Linked DNA regions of Coturnix japonica. The protein of the gene in region 1 interacts with the protein of each later gene in a biochemical or structural test. Links are inferred from orthologs where the notes say so. Each region holds a gene or a part of one and is shown in the gene's direction. Other genes may lie near its edges.

Evidence for each region. The genes of interacting proteins can lie anywhere in the genome.
Region 2: the proteins of UBE2N (region 1) and SH3RF1 form a complex in vitro, tested with the Homo sapiens proteins (2 studies listed by BioGRID). The link is inferred for Coturnix japonica from reciprocal best matches to the Homo sapiens genes UBE2N and SH3RF1.

What each region holds. Positions count from the first base shown.
Region 1 is NC_029516.1:40,865,294-40,869,299, reverse strand, and holds the start of UBE2N (ubiquitin-conjugating enzyme E2 N), read left to right. Parts: upstream 1-1,206; 5' UTR 1,207-1,326; coding exon 1,327-1,356; intron 1,357-4,006. UniProt on the Homo sapiens protein: The UBE2V1-UBE2N and UBE2V2-UBE2N heterodimers catalyze the synthesis of non-canonical 'Lys-63'-linked polyubiquitin chains. This type of polyubiquitination does not lead to protein degradation by the proteasome.
Region 2 is NC_029519.1:22,337,541-22,341,040, forward strand, and holds part of SH3RF1 (E3 ubiquitin-protein ligase SH3RF1), read left to right. Parts: intron 1-1,049; coding exon 1,050-1,384; intron 1,385-3,500. UniProt on the Homo sapiens protein: Has E3 ubiquitin-protein ligase activity. In the absence of an external substrate, it can catalyze self-ubiquitination. Stimulates ubiquitination of potassium channel KCNJ1, enhancing it's dynamin-dependent and clathrin-independent endocytosis.

The sequences.
Region 1 (4,006 bases):
TCATCGATTTCACAGAAAGTTACACCCATAATGTTAGGAGAACAATTTAGCGTTTAAAGGGCCAAACGTGTGTACAAGAATGCACAGGGCTGGTGTTTTTCATGAGTTGATATGAAAAGTTTGTAATTACTGGTGTATTCAACAGCTGAGGAGATCAAGTTGTGTAGAACAACTATGTACCTTTTAGTAGCCTTCTCAAAAGATAGAGAAGGAAAATTTGGTAAGTTTTTGGGAAGCAATGTGGGGAGGATGAAGATTTTGGCTTAGGGGAAGCTGAGGACAGGCCTCATGGCAGCTACAGCTCCCCATGGGGAGTGGAGGTGAAGTGCTGAGCTCTGCTCTATGGGGGGCAGTGACAGGCCCCAAGGGAACAGCATGGAACTGTATCAGGGGAGGGTCTGGCTGGGAGTTAGGACGTTCTTTCACTGTGTGGTGGGCACTGGCACAAGAACATTTGGACTATATTTGCAGACACAGGGTTTGAATTTTGGGTAGTCCTTTGTTGAGCCAGGAGCTGGAGTTGATTCTTGTGGGTCCCTTCTGACTCAGGCTATTCGGTTTCCTTGATTATAAGGAGGGAGACACGGCACTTCTGACATGCTTCATGTTATTGTAACCACCATGGGTTGATAAGAATGTTTCTATCTTAGGACACAAATCAAGCTTGCAGTATTTCTGACAGGAGCATGTTGGCAATTACACAGCCCAGATTTGCCAGTGTTAGAACTGTCCATTCTACCAGTGTGTGAAAACGGCGTAGCTGATCTAAATGTCCTGTTTGTGAACCAGGACTAAAGCAATTGACAGAGAATTGTTCGTGCAGGGTCTTGTTCCTGGGAAACTGCTTCATCTTTCTGTGCTTTCATTTCCCATCTGCTCAGCAACGGTGCTGGATGCTACTGTTGCTACGTAGCTGTAGTAGGGAGCCACAGGATGCTGCGGAGGTAACACCATCCATGTAAAACACCACAACATCCATGTAAAACACCTCATCTTTACAACATTTCCCTTCCTGTCAAGGAGGAAGAGACGTGACTAACGAGCCTTTAGTATCACAAAGGTGACATGTCCTGAGACATCTCTGTGACTGTTCGCTGACACACGTTGTACCACGCTGATGAAATCCGAGCTCTGTCAGCGCGGAGCTCCGGCCTCACAGCGGGACTCGGGGCAGGACTCGCCCCTTAATGGCAGCGGGCGCGGCCTACATTGCCCGACGTGCCGCGCCGAGGGCGGCGCCACCGGAAGAGCGGAGCGGGAGACTTCCGGCTGTGTGCGAGCCCCGAGCGGAGGCGAGCCCGCGATCTTGCACCCCGACGAGACAAGATGGCCGGGCTGCCCCGCAGGATCATCAAGGTAACCACGCGTGCCGCCCCGCGGGGCCGCGAGGCACCGACCCGCGGCTCGCTCTCGCGGCGGGCAGGGTCGGGCCTGGCGCCGCTTCCGGTGCGCGGGAGCTGTGGCCGCGCGGGGCAGGGCCGCTCCCAGGCCTCCCGCATCCTGCGGAGCCGCCGCCGGGCCCGGCCAACGCGGGGTTGAATGAGAGCGGGGCGCCGCGCCGGGCCCGCCCGTCCCCGCCGCTCCCTGCTCGGCCCGGCGGCGTGATCGGGTGGCGGGGGAGCCGCCGGGGCGTCCCGGTGTGCTGTGGGCGGCTGGCGACAGCGAGGCCGTGCCCGTCGCGGTGCCCGCCCGGGCGGCGTCCCGCGGCCCTTCGGGGCTCGGGCGGCTCCGGGCGCAGTGTAAGGCTGCTACGTGCGCTCCGAGCTGCCGGCTCTGATGTGCCTCGAGCTGTGTCTGCCAGGCTTCGCTTTTGGCTTCGGCCACTTCCAGCTACACCTCGGAGGGAACTGCAGGCTGGCTCAAACGCATGGAGTCACTCGGCACAGGCGCAGGGAGCTGCGTTGCAATGCAGTTCGTCTTGCTGATGATTTGGTCCTGTAGCCGATGTGAATGCTTCCTGGGTTGGCATCCTCGATCCTACTCGGTTTGCAGTATGTGGTTTGCAATCTCAAATCGGTGCTCACCGACTGCTCTTGTTGAAGTTACTAAACGATTCCAGTAAGATTCATTAGTTGGTTAGTGGTAGCACTTGTTTCATTTCCACCTGAATGAATGTCACAACTTGCAATAATGCTGCAAAGCTCTTCTTGGTTGAGCTTGCAAAGTTGGCAACCATTGTAAAACACAAGAACACAATGTGTTAACTAGCTGATGCAAAAAATAAAGATATATATATATAAGTCAGTATATCTATATCTACCTATCTATATAGCAGATGTTAGAGGAGATGGGATAAAAATTCAACAAGATTTTTTTTGTGTATGAAAACAGCTGAACTGTGACTGATGCTCAGAAATACAGGCAAAATAACGTGTCAATCTTACAGAAGTGAGTTTGGTCGCCCTGTTGCCTTGGTGCGCAGCATACAGTGGTGAATATATTTCAGGTCTGAGGAAATCTCGTGATATAGCAGAACTGGTGTTTATTGTAGAGATGTGGTGAGAGATGAGTTGTGAAGCTGATATGTCCGTGTTAGATTTTGCTGTAGGTTTTGATAGTTTTCTGGCCAAGCTAGTCCATACATTTCATTCTTAGCACCCTTGTTTCTTCTTTCTTAGCTTCTTAGGGAAAACCTAGAGCAATGCATGAAGCTCGTTTCCAAGATAGAGGATGGTATGAGAATGTTGCTCTTGTCCCTGGGGATAGACATCTGAATACCCCAAGCAGAGACCTAAATGGTCTAGATTTTCTCCAGCAGAGTCTTGCTTGGAATATTTCAGTGTTGTCTGTTGCAGGGTGGTGCATATTCTGGGCTGTCTATGTCCAGGTATGCACTGTAGGATGTCTGCAGACAGTTCAGGGCCTTTGAGTCTTGAAATGGGTGACCGTTTCTGTAGCTCCTGTGCTGTGCATACGTGAGGTCATCAGCGCTATGTATGGTCTAAGACTTGAACCTGACTAGTATTGCAGTCTTGAATGTGTAAGGTAATATTTGAAAGTATCACAGCTGCAGAGTTGAAGATCTAGGAACGAGCTTCATGAGTCTTGAATGAGGGCTGTTTTGATGCTTGCTACTGATCTTAATGTTGGAGTTAAATATCCTATTGCTGCTTGTCGTAGTTGGAGGGGAGTAAATGAACTCAGTGAGAATTTGAAAGATGAGGAAAGGAAATAGAAGAGAGAAAGATAGATGACAGAAAAGGGCTGTAGAAGGTTGAAATAATTCTAGTAACAAGTTGCAAATTTGATAACTAAATGCTTTGGGTTACTGCTAGGAGTAGTAGTAGGAGGGAAGGAGAAGACCTTTTCCCTTTGATCCGCGTGTGGCCTTTGTGTGGTCATCTGAGGGAAGCACAGCGATAGCTGTTGGGGTCTAGCAGTGTGTGTGCACCGTAGCAGAACCCAGCTAAGGGCTCAAAATGCAGTTGGCATTCCTCATCTTGATGGACTGCTGGCAGATGGCCTGGCTCTCAGGTTGACTAGCGGCCTGTGCTCTCCAGCCTGCTTCTCAGCTCTGTGCAGACTGTCATCCAGCCCAGCAGGAGAGCTCTGGCTTTCCTTGTCTCAGCAGAGAGCTCTATTTATATTTTCAGTACTTCTCCACGCTCATTTAAAAGGTGTCAGTATAGATATTGCAAAGCATTTTTTACAGGAGATAAAGGATTACTCCTGGCTCGCCGTCCTCAGATTACTTGGAAGGACAGGCTTTAAACAAGTGGGGTGAATGATCTGTAAGCTCAGGAGATGACTCGCTTTAGAAGTATGGCTTATGGTGTTAGCACATCACAGATGTTGAGTAGAAAATGTGATAGATGTGAATCCTTAAATCAGATGTATAATTGGAACTGGAGAAACACTGTGAACTATTTTGTTACTGCACATATTTAAGGAGTGAATCTTTGCAAAGTACCCAGTAAGCAAACCCAGAAATCTTCATTTTCAAATGTTTGTTAAACCAATTATTTCCTGTGTTGCAATGTCATGTTGCTCCAGTAGAGTAAGGAAT
Region 2 (3,500 bases), on another chromosome or scaffold:
TTTCAGCTGTAACCTCTGAAAATAGACCAAGGTGCCTGTAGGAAGGGCTTTTAAAGAATAGATTTAGAGTTCAAGGTGAGAGATGCTAATGTATTTGGACTTTGCCAATTCCTTTGAGTTTCTCTTTTTCTTTTCCATTTCGTACACAGCAGATCTTTGCTGAAATAGCTTGAAGTTATTGGAGACTTGGAAAAAAGACAGAGGATTTTTCATTCACAGTTCACCAATTTCACTGCATCCTAAGCTGTAATAAAAGTCTCACATTTCTTAGCTTTACTCTTTCTGTGGTTAGTTTATAGCTTATTTTTGTCTTCGAGGCTTAAAATCTGGCACTTCTCATAAGCACTAAATTCATTTAGTCAAAGAGTTGGTGAGACGATAGCTGCCACACCCCTTAAAGAAAAAAACAACAACACACAAGAAACACAAAAGCAGCTTAAATAATTCTCTTCAGGGTGAGTCCTAGACTTCAGGGATTCCTGTCTGGACAAGTGAAAAGAATGTTTAGAATTCTTCTAGCAGAGCAGCAAAACACAGTACGTTCCCCGTGTGTCAAATTTTTGCTAAATCATGAAGGCCTTCCCTTACTGAAGGAAAATGAATAAAAGACACTTACTGAAGCAGCAGCCTCCAGGGCAGACTTTTCTCTCTGCTTGGTCTGAGCTAACATGGAAGTTTCCAGGAAGGAATAGAGAGTTAGCTATTTTACTTCCTGGATTCCCCTTTGTGGGTCTCTAATGACTTCCTCCTTTTTGTAGACAATTTTTTGGTCCACTGACATTGGCTTTTAAGGTTAGCATTAACTTACCTTAACTAAGCAAAAGCGCTTAGCTGGTTTATGATCTGAATGAGTTTCTGTCCTTCTCTTCAGAGTTTTAGTAATTCTCTTTTATGAATTTCATAATTGTCTCTTGTAATGATTTCTACAATATCAAGCATTTCTTCATTACTAAGTCTCCTCTGGACAAGGTGGCATCTGTAAGAGGGAAGTGCTTAGCTCTTTGTAGAAAACCTTTGTTCTGAAATGAGGCACTGCCCTTTGCTTACAGAAAGAAAAAAAGGGTTTGCTGAAACTGCTTTCTGGAGCATCCACTAAACGCAAGCCACGGTTGTCACCTCCATCGTCTCCAACTCTGGAAGTCGAGCAAGGAGCCACAGAGTTAGTTCTGCAAGGTGCAGTTGGGCCAGAGCTTCCATCAGCAGGAGGTCATAGCAGAGCTGGAACCTGTCCGACTGACTGCGAGATCTCTGGGCCGACACAGGAGATGTTGCAGCGGAAAACAAGTTCCCTGGATTCTGCTGTTCCAATAGCACCACCACCACGGCTGCCTTGCTCATCCCTGGGTCCAGTCTTGAATGAGTCCAGGCCTCTTGTCTGTGAAAGGTGAGTTATCCTCAGCCCCAAAACTTAGGAAAATCAATAAAAAATTGCACTCTGTGCTGTTCTCTATAAGAACTGCTAGCACTCTAATGTTTATATTTGTTTGCTTTCAGTTACTTTAAAGTTTTGGTGTAAATAGATAGTAAAATACAGTGATCTAGCCTTGGAATGAAAACTGAAGTAGGTCTCTTTTGCAAAACATTAACGTTACAGTTTTGTGCATAGGATTATCAAGTTAGACCTCCAGAATTATTAGCAGTATTTAACTACCAACCCAAATTGATGCTGAATAGGTAATTTATCTCTGTGTAACTTCTTAAACTGTTGCAGAGGTGCTTTTCCTACATGATTTCCTTGTTACTATGCACTCCGTATAGGAATTGTTAGGATAACCTCTACATCTTGACAAGTGAGACTAAAAAGCGCACAGTTGTTTCGTCCCTGAAGCAGCCAGGCAGTTACTTTAAAGTTCAATCACCTTCCTTTAGTGTCCACACAATATGTTCAGATTTCAAGGCCTTGGTAGGTTGCAGGAACTGAGAAGGAAGAGGCAGTTTTCTAACTACTGTTTCTTATTATTACCCCTGAAAATAGACAAGCAGGATGAAGACTGTTGAAGGATTTTTTTTTTTTTTTTTTTTTTCATGGTAGCTAAACACAGGGGGGAAAAAAACAGTAGGGTTGCAGTTTAATTGTTCTAAACTGAATCCTGCTGATGTGTAGTTTGTTCTAGTGCTACTAACTCATGATATGTGGACATAGCAGTGTACTTCGAGTCTCACTGATCTTAAGCTACATCTGTGTATTCAGAGCCAGACAGTATATACATCACTTTCTTTTATTTGACTTCTGTCATACTTTTAACATTATTTAAAAGTTTATTACTGTTTCTATGCAGTTTTCATTGAGGATACTTCTATCGTGTACTGAATTTCTGAAGTAGATTACTTGTAGATGGAAAATAAGAAAAGATTTTTCTTGAAAAATAATTATTTTCTCAGAATCATGATTCAGTTTGGCACAGTAGCATGTTCTTATGCTTTGAATACAACAATAATATCAAATTAATTATGATATGGCAATTGAGTATTTGTATAAAGCTATCTGCATCTTCACAGTCTTCCATGATGGAGACTCATTTCTTGGAACTACTTGTTGAGAATAATGCTGTGTACTTCTGTTAATCTAATAATAACATATATGGAGAAAATCCTTTTAATATAACTGTATTCTTCATATTTAGGGAAGTGATAATCACTACCAGAGAAGTACTACCACAAATTCGTTCTCTCTGCCACTTACACAGAGTTACTATATTTTATGTCAGTGTCTGTAAACAGAATTTCATAGGGATTCTCTTTGTGCTTTTCAGGGCAGGTTTAATACTTTTCTTGTTGATGTGCTCTTGTCTCTTTTTCTGTTTCCCTAGGCTGCATTACTTGTGTTGCTTAATAGAACTGTATACTTGTGGCTTACGCTGTACTCTGTTTTCAGAGAAAATTGTGAACATGAATCAGTGTTATTAGTTCTCGGGAGGGATGTGTAGAAAACTCACCATATCTTCAGTTAAAATTTTGGGGAAGGGGTGGAAAATATTAATGAAAGAAACCTCAAAAAGAGCTAGAGAGCAGAGAAATCTCCTGCTAATACTGTTCTGCTCTTACATATCACAATTCCAATCAGAAGCTACAGCCTGTCTGGGAAAAAACCACAACAGTACTCTATTCTGACTTTGGAGAATAATTATTAGTGTTCAAGTTCTGTTTTCAAAGTTGACAAGAGGATTTAGGAGTTATGTTCTGCATGAATAAGAAGCAAAAGTGCCTGAATCAACTCTGAAAAGCACTTGAAAATATTTCTCTGATTCTGAGTTTTCCCCAGAGTCTTGCCTTCGTTTAAAATATGGGAACGCATTCTTCATTGTAATCCCACTGTTTTTCCATTCAGTAAAATTGCCAAGTTCTCTTACAGTATATTTAATGTGTGTTCTGTAGAAATTTGAAGTAAAACTCAAACCACTAAAGAGCTTGTTTGCATTCATACAGAATAAATGGATTAACAGATTTGAGAGTACACAGGTTTTTTGTGGCATGGATTTGCAAATATATACTTCCATACC